Linked DNA regions of Drosophila melanogaster. The protein of the gene in region 3 interacts with the protein of the main gene of each other region in a pairwise test. Each region holds a gene or a part of one and is shown on either strand. Other genes may lie near its edges.

The links.
Region 1: the proteins of CG9917 (region 3) and CG15177 interact in a two-hybrid assay, tested with the Drosophila melanogaster proteins (one large-scale study listed by BioGRID).
Region 2: the proteins of CG9917 (region 3) and CROT interact in a two-hybrid assay, tested with the Drosophila melanogaster proteins (one large-scale study listed by BioGRID).
Region 4: the proteins of CG9917 (region 3) and for interact in a two-hybrid assay, tested with the Drosophila melanogaster proteins (one large-scale study listed by BioGRID).

The regions. Positions count from the first base shown.
Region 1 is NT_033777.3:6,627,696-6,630,935, reverse strand, and holds CG15177 (uncharacterized protein), read left to right. Parts: upstream 1-1,614; 5' UTR 1,615-1,745; coding exon 1,746-2,105; intron 2,106-2,160; coding exon 2,161-2,271; intron 2,272-2,321; coding exon 2,322-2,528; 3' UTR 2,529-2,732; downstream 2,733-3,240. Other genes in the region: sunz (sungrazer), read right to left, coding at 1-116, 175-282, 338-691; sowi (solwind), read left to right, coding at 3,183-3,240.
Region 2 is NT_033777.3:27,702,862-27,708,465, forward strand, and holds CROT (carnitine O-octanoyltransferase), read right to left. Parts: upstream 3,891-5,604; 5' UTR 3,694-3,890; intron 3,641-3,693; exon of another isoform or gene 3,204-3,640; intron 3,044-3,203; exon of another isoform or gene 2,991-3,043; 5' UTR 2,981-2,990; coding exon 2,603-2,980; intron 2,527-2,602; coding exon 1,729-2,526; intron 1,660-1,728; coding exon 1,529-1,659; intron 1,469-1,528; coding exon 1,052-1,468; intron 996-1,051; coding exon 863-995; 3' UTR 518-862; downstream 1-517. Other genes in the region: btz (barentsz), read left to right, coding at 1-72; CG12877 (uncharacterized protein), read left to right, coding at 4,349-4,457, 4,516-5,604.
Region 3 is NC_004354.4:16,320,895-16,325,247, reverse strand, and holds CG9917 (uncharacterized protein), read left to right. Parts: upstream 1-2,016; 5' UTR 2,017-2,294; coding exon 2,295-3,200; 3' UTR 3,201-3,817; downstream 3,818-4,353. Other genes in the region: CG32579 (uncharacterized protein), read right to left, coding at 183-592, 647-799, 1,039-1,169, 1,319-1,474, 1,551-1,780.
Region 4 is NT_033779.5:3,653,906-3,658,873, forward strand, and holds the start of for (foraging), read right to left. Parts: upstream 3,049-4,968; 5' UTR 2,817-3,048; exon of another isoform or gene 2,803-2,816; intron 1,681-2,802; 5' UTR 1,365-1,680; intron 1-1,364.

The DNA.
Region 1 (3,240 bases), on a different chromosome or scaffold from region 3:
TTACCCAAAAACTCGAGCAATCCAGGCTGATTCTGTACAATTTCGGCGTACTCTTCAAACGCTATCACCCCATCCTTGTCAGTGTCGAATTTTCCGAATATGAACTCGCACATGTCCTGCTCGGAAACGGTGCTGAAATGCAAGCATAATTGTCAATAATGTCAGTACACTCACCGCTCGCAATTCGTTGACCTCGTCGTCGTCATCGCCAGTGAAGAATTGTTCAATGGCCACGCCGACCACCTCGCGATTCAGAACCACAGCACCACCGCTTGTATAAACCTGTAGTCCATGGGGAAATTTAATAAAGGAGTAGCCACGATTTCGGAGCAACCACCTCAAATGCGAACTTCATTCGCTCCTGCAGACTTCCGTTGAAGAACACACAGAACAGCCGCATCCAGGCTTCTGGAGAGACTGATCGGCCATCCTGCGTGATATTCATCGAAATCCGGTCGATGATGGTCACGTCGAAGATCCCAAAGCTGACGAGGAATAGATTGTACAGCTGGCTGGTGGACATCATGCGGGACCTGTTGTTCAGGGCGTACTTGTAAAACACGATCAGCAAGCTGACCACTTCGTTGGTGGAAAACTCCGTGGAGGCAGCGAAGCTCTTGATCAAAGTACTGTACATGGTGAGGAACTTGTTGTTGGCCATGTCGTCCAGGGTAAGGTCGATGCGGTTCATTGTGTTTTTTAATGGCAATGGTAAACAAGTAATTATTATTTAAAATGTTTTTTAAGAGAGTACTGTGTAATGGGGCGTGTGTTTCGGGTGTGTGATGAAAATGCCTAACTTATGAGGCTCTGGCCTGCTTAAAAGGGTGAGGGTTATGCAAGACAAATTGCAAATAGATTGGGTAAGTCGCAGCCGCAGCCTAAGGATTCGCCGGGAATGTAACTGGCGCAATTTAAAAGCGATAAAACAACGCCGCGACATAAAAAATACATCAGCCACGCTACATGGACTACATCTGTCCCCCATTTCGAATAAATATTTGAAACAAACCCGCCTGATGAAACACACAAAGGCTGAGAAAAAAGCTGAAAGCTGTGCGCATGAGAAACGCGAATATAATAATCCAAACAAAAGCGCTGAGATGGGTGTAAAGCCTTCCATGTGGAAATTCGTCGGAAATGGCTGTGTAGCCATTTTGTTTGGGGTAACAAATGTTCGGAATCTCCTTCCCTTTGTTGTATAATTGTATGCCCCCTTCGAAACACACTCACGCAAGCACACACTCACACGTGCCACGCCCACCGAAATACCAAAAAAAATGAGGAGGCGGCTGAGCAGCTCGACACGGCATAATAACAATAAAATAAGAGTGGATGATGAAGGAGAGAGGGCGGCAAGGATTCACGCTCCTTAATGTCTCCACAGTTGACATCGCCAAGTGTTGGCGGATTTACAGGCAAGTTGGGCTGGATTTTGGTATGGACTTTTGATTGATATATTTTACGTACGGTGTTTGGAAGAGACTTACGGCATAAATTTGTTAAGCAAGACAAATGGCGCGGAAGCGAAATTGGAAACATTTTAATTCTCATAAAACGCTTAAAGAGGGCAACCATATATTTTGTATTTTTGAAATCCAGAAAAGCAGGCGAAGGAAACATATGCCAGCTGCACTAGACATATCCATTAAATCATTGTAACTCCTTAATCGATAATCAAACAATATCATATATCCAGTAGTAAATCAAAGTAAAGAGTAAATCACCGTGAGCTTCCCTGAACCATGGAAAACCTAGACTCCACTGTCGATAGCACCGAGAACAGCAAGTTCTCGGCCCTGTACGGTGGATTGATTAAGGAGATCGCTGCAACCTCGAAGATGTCCACCTTGGACATCACCTGTTTGCTTTGCGTTTACTACAAGTTCGTCAGGTTCAACGGACCTGGCGCCAAACAGATGAAGAAGAATCAGTTCTACCAGATCTACTTGGTGCTCTTCAACGTGGCCAATGTTCAGGTGATTGAACGCTCCCTTCTGGCCATCACCAAGGATACCAAGTACGTGAGTCCCCGTGCCTGGGTTGATCTCTTTGAGCTGTACACCACAGAGGATCTGGAGCGCCGTATGAAGTTTGCCTTTGAAGTGGGTAATGGATTGTTAAGCATTTCTAGAAGGCTCTAATAGGGTTCTTTATTAGGTTTATGACACCAAGAACACCGGAGTTATCGATCGCGAGCAGGTGGGCGTGGCATGCGAGAAATTCTTCCACGAAGGCGACGACGAAGATGAACTAATTGAGCTCAGAGCGGTAAGCTTGCTTATCAATTTAGAATAATTTAATAAATTTACTCCTCACAGGACATGACTGAATTTATTATGAAGAAGTTTGATGTAGACAAGGATGGAGTCATTTCGTTTGAGGACTACTCCTCGGTTGTTTCACAACAACCCGTTTTGGTTGAGTTCTTGGGCTGGCTATTTCCATCGAACGAAGAAAGGGATCTTATGGCCCATGTTATCAACATGGACTCCATGCTCAATTATTGTAATCCGGACGCAAAATAGGCTTGTCGTTTGATTAAGCTTGATTATCCCACTGTGATAATAATCGAACGACAAACGACAATGAATGAGGACCAAAAGGATGCCGCCAAAGTAGTTGATCAAAATTTTTGTATGATTTCAAATTAATCATTTTTATAAGCATGATATATCAAATTTCCACCAACACTTTGAAAATAAAGCAAAATGTTTCGCGTGAGCTGTCTTAAAAGGACTTGCGATTGGTTCTTGTGTTAACTTGGTTTATATAAGGCGATAGAGTGGGCGACTCTTTATGTGAACTAGCAGACACTGCGTATGCATCATAAGCTCTCCAAAATCTCTGTTCACATTCTGCACGGGGCTCTGATCAAGTGGATATGCACACTTTAAAGAATACTGTATGGGTAACGGCGCTATGAGCCGTTTTGGATACTTATATAATTCCGATAGCCAAAAACGAAAAAATGCGACGCAGGAGCCTTTGAACTTATACGAAATAGTTTTTAAACATTGTTATTCAAAATCCATCTGCCAACCCGAACATAACACAAAAATCACAAAAAAAAAAAAAAATTAGAAAAAGAAAACACACACAAAAAAAAAGTTTCAAAATAAGGAAAAAAATAACAAAAAAAACTTTACAAGGAAATAAAAAACATTAAAAAGAATTTAGTTATGGAAAACCTAGACGCCACCATAGATAGCATGGAGAACAGTCGGTTTGCAGCGCTCT
Region 2 (5,604 bases), on a different chromosome or scaffold from region 3:
GAAGAGGCGGCAGCCACTCCACCGGCTGCCGAGCAGAACCTTCAGCCAGTTCCGGCCACTGGGCAGGAATGAGTGCAGGCGTACGCCGGCTTGCCGCCACAGCAGCAGCAGAGACGAGGCCAACGGATAGCGCCGCCGCCCTCCTCCGGCTACTCAATGCTGCAGCCGCACGCTGGCTACTATCGACCTCCGCCCCCGCCGCACTAGTGCGGACAGCCCAGCTCCTAACTCAACTCATACGATTTTTTTTCCCCCATTCTGTCCTTGGGTCTGCGACTCAAAAAGTACTGCATAAATAAAGAAACGCAGTGAGAACCACTTGTAATTAGCATTTAGCTCCCAGATAATCGAAATTACTAACGAAAAGTTTTCGTATATAGACGATTATATATATATATATTGTAATCCGGCGCAAGCTCCAATTAATTTGTACGTAGTATCTAGGGCCGGCTAACGTATTGAAGCGGCTGGGCGCTTAGCTTATTTAGCCGCATTTTAGAATTGAAACACAAGAATTACCGAGAGAAATGTATTTGCAAAAACTAATCGATCATTGAATTTAAATAAACGTTTAACACGAAGTTACAAATGCTGCACACCCTTTCTGTCAAACTACAAACTACCAACGAAGTCTGCGTTTTCACTTAGTTTCCGGTGAAAGGTGGGTTGAACTAGGGATCCAATTTCAAATAAAAAATATTTAAATTCGACTGTTCGTTAAAATCTAGGTAATTGTGCTAATTGAAACAAAATGGAAAGAAAAACCAAAAATCTACTTTCTGATTGGAACTAAAAATGAGAACTGAATTTCAATGACGACATAAAGTAAGATTAGATCTTTTCTTAATACTAGATGAGCTTTTCATAGCTTGGATTCCTTGGCCAATTGTTCCAGGAGAACGCTGATGCGGCGGAATGAGTCCTTGAAAATGTCGTTGAACTTGCGAGCGCTTGTCTTTAGGCTATCCCGATAGGCGGTGGTATTAATGAACACACTAGAATGTACGAAATTAAAGAACAATTCAAGATAATGGAGGAGTGTCTAGCTTACGCTTCCGAGGTGATGGAGTAAAAGACGCCATAGCCATCGAAGACCATGGGCGCCACGAAACCAACGTTGGCCGTGAAGCCCAGCGTGCTGGACGAGAGCACAAAGTTACCTCCTCCGCCGCTCTTGGTGTACATCGGATCGTCGTAGAAGGCGGGAATGTCCATTTTGCTTTCATACGCCGCGCACCACAGGCCAAACAAGTGCCTATCGATGCCGTGTCCCTTGCGCGCCTCGTTCATGAAGTGCTTGTGCTCATCGACTGCCCTACGGAACGCCCTGGCCAGTGACATATCGCCAACCTGCTTGTTGGATGACGCCCTCAGGAATTCAGCCACAGCGGAAGTGCATGATCGCAGGGTCTCTGTTCGTCCATTGTAGTACTGTCGCATCAGAGCAGTCTCATATGTGGGAGCAATTCTGTTGGATATCCATGGAGTGTTGTTAGTGCTGTTTTTTTTAGTCCAGAGGTGAACTCACTCTTTATGCATTTGGTAGTAGGCCCACTGCATGACCACCTGAACAAAGGAGTCTGGATGCAGTCGATGGGTTTTCATAAAGTCCTTGCCGTAGTCATCGAACGCAGTGAAGGTCACAGTAACGTCAATACCCTAAGGATACCACATACAAAAGGATTAACTAGTTCAATAACAGGTTTCGGAAAAAGGCGTTTTGCCTACCCTGTCATCAATATCCTTCTGCACGCGCTTGATCTCGTTCTTGAGCGTATCATCCAGCTGGAAGTGCAGCTCCTTGACCTCCAAAACATTGCCTTTTTCGGCCTCTGCCCAGTCTGGCTCTGGCACCTCCAGGAAGCTCAGTTGCATGAATGTGGCGTAACTTATGCTGACCGTGCCATCGTAGCAGCTGTGCTCACCCGTCCAGTTGCAGCGTCCGTTGCGGAAGGCGATGATGCTGCTGCTGCGGTCTGCCCAGCGGGAATGGAGATCACCGTAGAGACCCAGCTGGCAGGACTCCTCGTAGTCCTTGGGCGATTGCTCGTACCAGCAGATCTCCATACATGCGCTCTCCACCAGAAGCAGCGTCTCCTTGTTTGCAACTGAGATTTCCCTCAAACGGTTGCGGTTGCGTGCCCACGTGGAGCGTTCGTCATGGCTCAGGGTGGGCACACAATCGCCCAACGGCTCGTAGTCGAGGATGCTGCGCACTCTTTGCAGGGCCACGAGGATTTCGGGAGCCGATAGGATAGTGTCGTCCTCGTGCACACAATCGAAGATGAACTGACGTCCCTTGCCGGAAATAAGCATGTGACTCGGCGTTTTGCCCTCATCCTTGGTGAGAAAATGCTTCTCTATATGATCCTGCTCCTCGCCTGGCACACGGCACGTGGAGAAGAAGTGCTTGTACAGCGCGGAGGAGTACTTTATTTTACCGCCGTTCGAGGAGAGCGGTTTGATGCTGGACTTTCTAGTCAGATCCCAAAACTCCAGCGAGTGGTGAATGTGGCGCGCCAGACTCTTCGAAAATTATACAGTCAATTAGGCAATCTTAAACTTTGTGTTCTTATAGAGCTTGGGGTGTGGGTCCACTCACCTTCAGCATGTACTCCGGTGTCTCCGGCACGCCCACCATTTCCAATTGCGAGGGCATGACCATGAGCTGGTAGGGCAGCAGCGGCATCCGAATCAGGTGATATCCGTAGTCCTCCCACCAGGTGCCCAGCCAGTTCCTCATGCCGGCCGCCCGCTTCTTGAGCTGTTCGTGCAGCTGGGCTCCCACTCCGTTTTGGAACTCATCAATAGTCTTGCGGGCCTGGGCCAACTCCTCCTTGGTCCCGAATGGCTGGATGCAGCTGTAGTAGCGCTCCATGGTGTCCCTAAGCTCCGGCAGCGGGAGCGAAGGTAAGGTCTCGTCGAAGTCGAAGGTGTTCTTATCATCCTTGCTCATAAAATATAGACTAGCCCGGTCCATGGTGGTTTAGCTGCGGGGGACACGTTGGAATCGTTGATATCAGTCTGCGCGTGTGGTGGTTTTCTATAGGCCTAAGTCAGATTAGTACAATAATCATATCGGGAATCGCTTTTACGTTCGTCAGGTCCAAAGTTCACCCAATACATTACTGAGTACATTCACATCGGAAATAAATTGATCTCATCTTATAGGTTAAACATTAAAATGGTGTGCAAATTAATACCACACAACTAAGAACACTTAATGTGCAACTAAGCGGATTATGCGTCAAGTTGAACGTAATCTTTCTTGGACTGCAGCTAGACGACTATCTTCACTAATCTCCTCAAGCTGGACAAAGTCCGGATTGGGGAGCTTTATAAATATTTATACTCCCGGCGCACTGGTGAAATCATAGGCGAATTTCTAGCCCACTGACCTTTGTACTCGATGGGGAATTCACTTTTGCCGGAGACAACTGAAGCGCCAGACTGCCGTTATACGACTGAATCCATAGGTTGGTTCCATATCACAGCAAACCTTGCCGGAGGGGGAGCACTTGAATTATCGCACCGTGGGATCCGCCACCCGCGTCCACTGACTCAGTGCGATAATATATCACCCTAATCATTGCTATTGCAGACAGTCGGCCACCGATAATGGCCGGTTTCATTTGAATTTCTATATGAATTTCTTTTTTAATAACATATTCCAGCAGACACACCCACACAAACCTTCGATGAGGCGGCAGTTGAATGTCGCGCCCGAACTTCAGTTTGCGATGCACTCGATCGAAATTAAAACGGTTCCGCAGCTATCAAGTTCATTAGGCTAGATAAGCAAACAATTTTATAGGTTAAACAATTATTTTTATTATTATACTGCTGCGTTTTTGTTTACAAGCGGCGAAGACCCTATAGGAAATTGGCACAGCAAACAGCTGTTTGCAGGAGTTGCCAGACTTTTTACACCATTTGTTTATACCGTTAGTCACCACATTCTTATTACGTACATCTTATTCTTATTAACATCGCATAGCATTGTACATCGTACCGCAAGATATAATCCTCCCGGATTGATGCAATCAACTGCCATAAACGTACATTGTAACCGTTAACAAAATGCGAATATTGTTTACAATTATTAATTAAATAGGTCATTCAATGTTTTGTAAATATTTAAAACTTATTTAAATTTATTTAATTTAATTCCTTAGCATCCATTCATAGCATCCATGCTGACGCCTATCTGGCAACGCCGCCAGCAGCTGAAACAGCTGACATCTGTCGAAATGAGTGAAAGAGACAGGCAGAAAGAATAGAAAGAAATTTGGGACGCTTGTTTTCTCAAGCGGCTTTATTAAATTTCTAATCCCAGCAAGAGGTGGAAATGCTGCCATCCACGGGTCTCTTTAAGGGCTTCTTGTGCCCTTACTTTGACGGCCAGGATGCGGCGTCCTGCAAGCGCCCCTTTTGCCACTTTAAGCATGCTCGCAAAGGTGAGTGAATTACGTCCAGTTAATTTCGCAACAAATTCTATCCACTCTCGGTTTACAGACGAATTGGAGGCCGCTCCACCTGCAGAACCTTCCCCCGTGCCCAAGTACAAGCCGGCACCCAAGTTGCTCTCCCTTCCACTGCCCCAGATCACGCTATGTGCGCCCCGGAAGAAGTCCAATCTGGAGTACCACCCGGAGAAGCCGGCTCTTGACGCATCGCCGGCTAAGAAGAAGCAGGAGGCGTCCGTGGACAGTGCTCCCAAATATGTGCCCGGCCAGCCATCTGTTACAAATGGCGAAGAATATGACGATTGGCAGGCGGTACTCGAAAAGGAAATTGATGAGCAGATGCAGGTGGAGATTGAGGAGCAAGTCCAGAATAACGACGAAGAACAGAAGATAGATACGGTAGCTGAAAACGAGGAGGACCAGGAGAATACGCAACTGACGGATGCTAGGGATAGCCACGAAAAGGATCGAAAGCCCAGCAAGGAGCGGGAAAGGGATATAGAAAAGAAGAAGATCAGAGAGCTGAAAAGGGAAAAGATCAAAGACAGGGATCGGGACCGGGACCGGGACCGGGAAAAAGACAAAGAGAAGAGCAAGGAAAGGGACAGAGAGAAGGAAAAAAATGATAGGGATAAGCGAAAGTCCTCCCACAGCGACAAGGAGCGCTCCAAGGAGCGAAATACTTCAAGCTCAAGTTCCTCTAAGCACAAGTCTTCATCTAGCTCCTCTTCCAGCAAAAAGTCATCCAGCAGCGATAAGCACCGCGACGACAAAAGTTCCAGTAGCAGGCACAAGAGCAGTTCTTCATCATCCTCCTCGAAGAGCCATCATCACAAATCTAGTTCCTCGAGTTCACGGTCCAAAACTAAGAGGAGCTCGTCTTCCAGCAAAAGCGCTGGCACTTCAAAGAGCGAACCGGAGGCGGATAAGGATACTGAAGCAGCTGTACTGACACCAGCAGAACCTATGGATGATCTGGATGACATGGACTTTGATTTTGAAGCAGACACCTCGGAAGGAGAAATTGTACGCCAGTGTGAAATGATTTTTGACGAGATGGAAAAAAAATTTGCGCAGATGCACAAGGACGAAGGCGGCAATGCCAACCCGGAGAGTTCTCGCAAGCGCAAAGCTCCTT
Region 3 (4,353 bases):
TTTGCATATACATATGTGTGTATGTATGTATGTATATATCCTCTAATAAAAACACAATGCATATTAGATATTAGATTAGATCTGAAACCAGCTTAAGCCAATTGAAAATCAAAGGCGCATCACAAGTGGGCATAACAACGTTTATTGCAAATATACAAAATGCTACTAATTATGCTAGAATTTTAAAAATAAGTACGCACAGTATTTGGATGGCAGTACGTGTAGTAGATTATTAACAGAACAATTCCGACAATATACAAGGCAATGATGGCTGTGGCAAGATACAAGGGAATGTACAAAGCGCAGGCGATGATATTTTGCAACAAACAGAATGTGAGATAGAAGGCGTACTTATATTTGGTTGGTGCATCCTTGACGGGCGTAAAAATAAATAGATAGACAACGCCAAAGCACAGGCAGTACGAATAGTTCATGGGGCGGGATTTTGCGATCATTGGCGAGTCCACAAAGAACACAATGGTGCCGTAAAAGCAAGCCAGTGTCGCGCAGATGATCAGCGTTTCGATGGGAAAAATACTGGCCACATACGCGATGCAAAGCGTTCTCGAAACTACGAAATAAAAGCGAATAACTAAAAGCTTAATATACACATTCTAAGCAACACAGCTAACTAACTACTACTAACCAGTGAGGCAGAGCAGGAAGAGAAATTGCAGAAATCGTCCCTTCGCCGCAATATCATGTTTGTCCAGTTGGGCCAGGCGATTGGAGTGATTGTACGCCTGGATGCACCACGCTATGTTGCCGAAGTAGACGATCAGGGCGATGTGGCGGTAGTCTGGGAAAAGAAATTTGAATGGGTAAATGGCATCCATCGACTTTCCATTCCGAGTTTCACTTTCGTTGGCTACAATCAATGAGTTAGGCTAAACGCCTAAACTGACTTTGATTTGCGAAAGTGAACGTCAGAATTTGGTGTTTATAAGCTTAAATTACTTATGCATTAGTTATCTTAATTAAGGCAGAGAGAGAGAGAGATTGAAATATGGCACTAATGTAGTATTAATATCGTATTACATGTGAACTCCAATGTCGATTGCAAAAGAATTGCCAGCTGTAGTATTTTCTGCGGTGCTGATTCCAAAAACGAGTCGAATAGACGAACGAAACTAACATTGCACTCCTCCGTCATGAGTTTTTGGTAATATCTGTAAGATAAGAATTCAGATATTCGTTATAAACATTCTAAAGTGCTCACTTATGATGAAAAGAGAAGATAAACTAAACGGCAGTACTACCATTTAGGGCATTAAGCTACTATTAACTAGTTTTATACACTGACACTAGCATTACTCACTCGATCTCCGCCTGCTTGTCATCCCGCTCCTTGGCCAACGAGTATTTGAACGCATAGTTTAGGACATAGACATCGCGGAAGAGATATGAGATCACAGCATTTGAGTACACCCCTCGCTCCAGGATGCGTTTTTCGCCGGCATGAGCGCTCTTCAAGCTGAAATTCAAATACAAATTTATCGTTTAGCTGTAGATTTCGGGGGAAGTACACGCTATCGCGATATGTCACATACGTATGTATATATATGACCGATGTGACCACCATGGGCACCAGAATGGAGCCAATGGTCCAGGCGCAGTATCCGTAGGACTCCTCCATCCAGTACACGTACGCCAGGCTCCAGTTGATGCAAATCGAGACGAAGCGCCACAGAATGGACACCACAGTGAGCAGCATGCTTAGTTTCGAGATCGGCCCCATCATAAGGGCGTCCACTTCGGTTCTTTGCTCCGCGGAGGCCATGTCTCCTCCGCCTCCTTATTGCACATGTGCCACCCTAGCCACACACAAATATCCAAGGCCTCGACCTCCAAACTACTCTCGCCTTCAACTTGCTGACACTGGTTTTCGACTAAAAAAAAAAACAAAACACTGAAGATTAGAATAAAGACTGAATTCTACGAGAACTTGTTCATTTGAACTAGAGATAGATCGATCGTACGCTTTTATCGGCGGAAAGCCGATAGTGAGCTGTTGCATCGAAAGCGTCATCGACGAAGTGCCATCTCTAGCCGACGGGTGGGATAGAATCTCCAATTGGGATTTCCATCCAGTGATTTCCTAATTAAATTAATTTTTTCCAATTGCCCAAAGGCATAGGCATATTTCGCAAAACGAACAAATATGTTTGCTTGAAGCGCATAGAATCACAAACAAAAGTGCAAATCTCAGAGCTTAAAAACCAGAGCAAAGGAGAATAACGGAAGAGGAGGCAAGCAAAAAGACAAAGAGGAGTGCAAAAAATACAGCAAACATCATGCACAGGACATATGTAAGCCATGCGATATACGCCATTTGGCTGGTTATATTCGCCACTGCCGGCATAATGGCCCAGCTAGACCTGGATCAGATCCAGACCCAGCTGCCCGACCAGCTGAGGAAGTCAAACTTTAGCGTGAACGACGCCAAGGAGCTATTTCGCAACAAATGCATCGAGGTGGCCGGCGAGGAGGCGGGCGTCGAGGCATACGGCGAGATCGAGTCCGGATTCATGGTGCTAACCGAGTGCCTCAATGGCATTGTCAACTACACGGCAATGCAGCAGGAGATACAGGAAGCGTCGCCCAAGGGCGAACTGGATGTGGTCTTCAACAAGTACTGCAGCCGGCGTTCGAATGCCGTCGAGTGTGTGGATGCGTTCACGGCCAAACTGGTGCCCTGTCTGGTGCAGGAGGAGCGCGAGGGCCAGGATGTCATTAAGCAGATCATCCAGAGTCTGCTCAACTTTGTGTGCCACAAGGATGGCGATCAGATAGCCCTGTTCATTGCCGAAAAGGGACCCGAATGCATTGAGTCCCAGAAGGACAACATTCAGCAGTGCGTGAACAGCACGTTCTCCGAGTACCTGAACGTGTCGGATCTGCAGGACAACCGCATCAGGAGCATGCCCAAGCTGACGGTCGGTCAGAAACAGTGCGACGAGATGCTGACTCTGCAGGCGTGTGTGGTCCGTAAACTGGAGCAATGCTCGGACATAACACCGGCGAATCTCGTCGAGTCCATGTTCAACTTCATTCGGAACCAAACGATGTGCCGTGACAATCAGAAATCGCCGCTCGTTGCGGCTGCCGCCAGCGGAGGGAGTCGGGTATTCCATCAAGTGTGGACCCATGTGGGCATCTTTTTGCTAATCCTGCGATTCGCTCTACAAAAGTCTTCTTAGTTCTAAGTCTGGGCGTCCGCTATATATCTCGAATCCGAATCTGTAAAACGCCTTCTCAACGCTTTGACTTTGGCATTCCAAAGCGATTAATCAAAGAGCACGATAATCACTGTTTTTAAGCTTTTGCTTCGCTTATATTAATATGCATGTAGCCGTGGAACAGGTGTCCATAGTTCAACCGCTTTCGGGGATAAGCATGCCAAGGTGCTGCTGCTCCAGGCTAGCCAGCCATATCGTTTTTGTTTGGTGCTTCTAATTTATGTAATTAATTGCCAATTGATGTATGTATGTATGTAGTATTGTAAACAATGCTTATACTTCCTTCTAGTTTTACTTCTGAATCAGAAATTCTTCTGGCCTTTGTCATGCGTTTATCTAATGCTTTATTTCCGTTTAATGAAATGGCGTGGCTTGCGGTTCTGATTCGAGTTGGGTTTGTATTAATCTCTTTCATTTAAATTCACTGAGGGAGGCAAATGGTAATCTCACTATTTCATAGTGGATCGGGTATGGGTTTGGGAAATGAAATGCTATATATGTAAAAACAATGAATGGATATGTTTTGTAAATGAATATACGTATCATTATTGTAATAATAAAGTGATAAATGTAAAAAGAAGGACGAGTTCATTTAAACTGGGAGTTAAAGGTCAATTAGGTGGTGAAAAGTACTCAGAGTAGTTGAGACCGTGCAGCTGCATTCATTACGTTTTCAGAAATGAATCACCAACTAGTTTTCACCTTGAACGCCATTTTCAAATTTCGCGGCAGAAAAACCACAACAAAAGGCGCGAGAAAAAGCGGAAAACAAATTTGAAAACATTGTTCCGATAATTGCTGATTATTTGTGAGCAATCATTTCAAGTAATCGAAAAATAATTTTGAAACAGGCTGTCTTGTTAGGTCAATTATTTTTTATCGTGCCATTTAAACAAAAATTATTTATATTTATTTATTTATTTTCCATCGTTTCTCCAAATTACATTTAAAAGTTTGTAAGACTTAATACTGTAAAACACTATTATTAGTTATTAACTATAGTTTAAAATGGCAAAATAGAAAATGCGACACGCACAATTGAACTATCGAAACGTTAATATTTAAAACAAGTAATTTAAAATAATGAATACATGTATAAAAATAATTAATACAT
Region 4 (4,968 bases), on a different chromosome or scaffold from region 3:
CAAAAATAACTCCGAATTATGGCAGAACTTAAAAAGAGTTCTTAGATATTTGAAGGGCACTATCGATATGAAATTGATTTTTAAAAAGAACTTGGCATTTGAAAATAAAATTATTGGTTATGTGGATTCTGATTGGGCTGGTAGTGAAATTGATAGAAAAAGTACAACAGGGTATTTATTCAAAATGTTTGATTTTAATCTCATTTGTTGGAATACAAAGAGACAGAACTCAGTAGCAGCCTCATCAACTGAAGCTGAGTATATGGCCCTATTTGAAGCCGTGAGAGAAGCTCTATGGCTTAAATTTTTATTAACTAGTATTAACATTAAACTAGAAAACCCCATTAAAATTTACGAAGACAATCAAGGCTGTATTAGCATAGCAAACAATCCCTCATGTCATAAACGAGCTAAACATATTGATATTAAATATCATTTTGCCAGAGAGCAAGTTCAGAATAATGTGATTTGTCTTGAGTATATTCCTACAGAGAATCAACTGGCTGACATATTTACAAAACCGTTGCCTGCTGCGAGATTTGTGGAGTTACGAGACAAATTGGGTTTGCTGCAAGACGACCAATCGAATGCTGAATGAAATTTTTATATATATTTTTCAAATTTAAATTCCTGTAAACATATTTTGTTACAATGATCTGATCGGGTTTTTCTGGGTTTTCCCCGTATCCTCGCAGCAAATGCTGGATCAGTTAACACTTCCCAGAATGCACACCACCCACATTTGATAGTTACTAATGAATATTATTGTTATGTTTTTAATTATAGACGTTATTTTTGAGGGGGCGTGTTGGAATATACTATTCAACCTACAAAAATAACGTTAAACAACACTACTTTATATTTGATATGAATGGCCACACCTTTTATGCCATAAAACATATTGTAAGAGAATACCACTCTTTTTATTCCTTCTTTCCTTCTTGTACGTTTTTTGCTGTGAGTAGGTCGTGGTGCTGGTGTTGCAGTTGAAATAACTTAAAATATAAATCATAAAACTCAAACATAAACTTGACTATTTATTTATTTATTAAGAAAGGAAATATAAATTATAAATTACAACAATCACTTTCGGCTCTAAGGCGGAGAAAAGGGCTTAAAGACCCTGAGCCTTAATTGTTTATTCAAAGCACGGACCAGAAAAAGACAGCACTGGAGCAGTCGAAAGAGATGGGTATATAGACAAAAGGGCGCCTTGGCGAAAAAAAAAATTATTCAAAGGCCGAACGATTGTGCAATCACAAAGTTCGTAGGCGGCATAAATCCATAAATAAACAATAAGTATGAATAAATAAGTTGCTGTTCGACAACAGCGAACAGTAATTGCATATTAAAATGGAGCTTACATGTTGGACGAAAAGTGAAGAAATTCCAGGGTCGATGTAAATGTTATGGTTCCAGTCGCAGAGAATCGCTCTCTTTTCTTCTTGTTGTTGCGATCAGCCGGCTTTTGCGAAGAAAGTTTCTTCGTTTCCACTTGTTGATTTGTGATCGGCTGTCTCGCTCGCGCACTCTTCAGTTTCCTCGTTAATTCACAGGAAGCACAGAATTAAGGCCGAAAATATATTTATAAATGAAATGCAGGCGGCACACGAAACTTCGCCATCAATTTAGACGGCCTGCACTTTTGTTTTCTCGAGTCTTTCCACTTGCGTTGCGTTTCTATGAAATTGGGCATTAAAATTTAAATGCTATTAGCCACAGAACACGAACACGAAAGATTGGGAAATGAAATGAAGGAGAGAGAGTGAGAGAGAGTTCTCTCACTCGTCGCTGTTATTGTTATCACCTGAGTCGAATACAGTGGGACCCCCACTTGAAGATGCAAACAAGACTGAGCTTTTACCAATAGTATTCAATAGTTCACTGATATCGATTAAATAATTTTAAAACTTTTGATCAACATTGCTGATTAACGCTTATTGGATTTAAGAACATTCGATTTGTTAATACTTGTGATCTGGCTTAATATGATAATTTAAGTCGAGCCCCACTGTACTCTTTCTCGCGGATTTTATCGCTCACTCTTTTTGTTTTCAGTTCACTCTCTCTCGCTCCGCATAGTTTGACTTGTTGTTGTTTCTGCCAGCGTAGCGTAGTTAACTTGAGCGGCAGCAACAACAACATCAGCCATACTTGTTGCTAAAAATAGTAGCGGCGGCGAGACAGAAACAGAAAACAGAAAAACAGCGCGGCAGAATAAAATATGAAAAGGCGCACAAATTGGAAAAAATTGTACATGACGAGCAACAAAAACAAGCAGCAAGTAACAAAAAGGAGGAGGAGTAGTTACAACAACAACTGAGCTTCTGTTGAAATATATCAGAGAAAAGAAAGGCAAAGAGGCAGATCGGCGTAGAAAGGAAATGCGACGCAAAACTGCAGTCAAAGAATTAGTTGGAATGATGGACTGAAAAGTGTCAAGTTTAGCACGGAAAATTCGTCAGCTGAAGTGCGAAAGAGACAGAGCGAACGAGCAGCTAACAAGTGATTTTCCATGAAATTAATTGCAGACTGCATTTGAATTAATAATTTTCCACTTTGAAATCACAAACTAAAAGAGAGCCGCTCTCTCTTCCACTCTCTTCGCTTAATGCACCAAAACTGCATTCACAATTCACGTTTTACTAATATTTAGTCAACTTTAACCACTGCCTTTGCTTTAATTGCTTTTTAAGGCAAATAGTTGCACATATGGAAAACGCTAGTTGTTGTTTTATTTTAGAATTCAGAATTGAGCACAAATGCTAGATCGTACGACTAGCGAAAGCAGCAACAACTAACCAAGTGGCACGCACACACAAGCACAAGTCGATGAAAAACCACCGAACTAAATGGCGATGTGGATTATTCTGATAAACGCCAATGCCATATATATATATATTTTTTTTCTTTTATTAAGAACTTGTGCCAAAATTTGCAGGAAAACCACGCGTTGCATTGATTCTTATAAAAATGCCGCTAAAGTCAATTCCAAGCACGATCGCGACAAATGACAACCGCACAGCACGAGAAATTCCAACAGACTGAAAATGAAACAAACAACTTACTCGCTACCACTACTCGAATATTATGAAATAAAGAGCACATTAGCATTTTTTCTCTTAATTTTTAAAAAATTATTTTCTCTTCTGATGCAATGTTATGAATTAGCGTTGAGATAGAAAAAAAAAATTTAAAACAATATTATGCTCAATCCTTTCTACAAATTAATTACTTTAATCAAATAACAAAATATTCATATTAATAAAAGTGTACTTTGTTTGTTAACGTAAATATACTATGTGAAAGGAGTAGATTTAGTAGAGTAGTAGAATTTATAATATTTTCCCTGCTAGTTCTCTCAGAGATGATGTATCAGTTTGATTTTAATAATCATTCCGAATGAAATCATCATTGAAGTTGGTCAAGATCGGTCTTAAATTAATCTAGTATTATAAATTGCCAATGCAGGATTAACTCTGCGCCATGATTTATTCAACTTTTCTCGTATACTTTTGGAACTAACAGCACACAACGCCTATCCGTTTACGACAAATGGTGTTTGTTTTTGGAACTAATACAGCGCCATTTTTCATTTTAGTGATTTCTAACTTACGTTGTACGTTACATTTCAGATTTATTATGCATGTAAGATGTAGAATGTCATAGCAACTGGCCGTCATGTATGTAAATATGTGTATGTATAGGCATTTCAGAGCCATTTTCTGCTCATATGTAGGGGTGGAGCCTGAGAAGAGAGAAAATCCCAAAAGGGGAATAAGAAACTGGGAAATTTTACTATTTAACTCGTTTCGTAAGAGGGTATACTAGATTTGTTAAGAAGTATATAACAGGTAGAATGAATTTTCCGATCTTTTATGGTACATAAAAAGACATTTTTTGAAACATGTTGAAAATTCAAAATTTTTTAATTAAACATAAATGTTTAAGTGGAATAAGTAACATATTGTAAAAATTATTTATTAATTTTAACCGTTATTTATGTACAATTTCGTAAGGTTAGAAAAATCCAAGGATCTTTGGTCGGGAATTTCCCTCAAGAAGGCGTTGCAAACTTAAGACCACCCACCCCCAGTATTGTGCCACCCCTCCCCAACTTCGCAACCCTCTTTTCACCCCTCTGCCGCTCTCGCAGTCGACGTCGCCGGGAAGGAAGGAAAGAGATAGCAGCTGGGAGAAAGGACAAAAGGAGAAACGGGTCGGTGGAAAAGGAGGAGGAGAAAGTAGAGGAAAAGTGAGGCGGCAGCAAAAGTTGATTAGATGGATTTCGTTTGGTTTTTGTGTTTTTAATCACACACCAATTTCATTTATTAAATCTTCGCATCAGCATTTCATTTCTCGCATTCCCTATCTTTCTCTTTCCCTCCTTCTGTCTCTTTCGCTTGTGCAGTGCCTTTTTTGTTTGGCTTTGCGACGGCATTTTTGTATTTTCTGTACCGTAGTGTTTGCTCGTTTGGCCTTCTCTTTTCTCTCGCACTCCTGTTTGTTTGTTTGTTGTTTTCCCGTTCACTCATTGTCACGAGCAATTTCACTCTCTCTCCACACCCCACCACCCCCGTCTCTGCCCATCTTTTGGCCCAGGCAAAACTTTTTGCAAAATGAAATTGTTTTCGTATTAACAATTTCATTAAAATTAAATTACTTTTATTATTCCGACAGAATCAGACAAACGAAAGGAGAAAAAAGCCAGCCTCCCCTGCCGCCCCCTCACCCCTTTCAGCCATTTTGGCCCCCCATTCTACCCCCTTATTGTAAATAAGCCAAAAGCTTGGCGTCTGTTTTCTTCAGCTGTCAAACAAATTAATTGCGCTTTTAATTAATTTCGTTGGCTTTTAGAGTGGAAAGATGTGATCTTATAATATATAATATACTAAAAGCTAAATTGTTTAACAAAATTGTTACCCTTTCTTCGAAAAAACACTTATTTCTTGCAATAAAAAAAGAGCC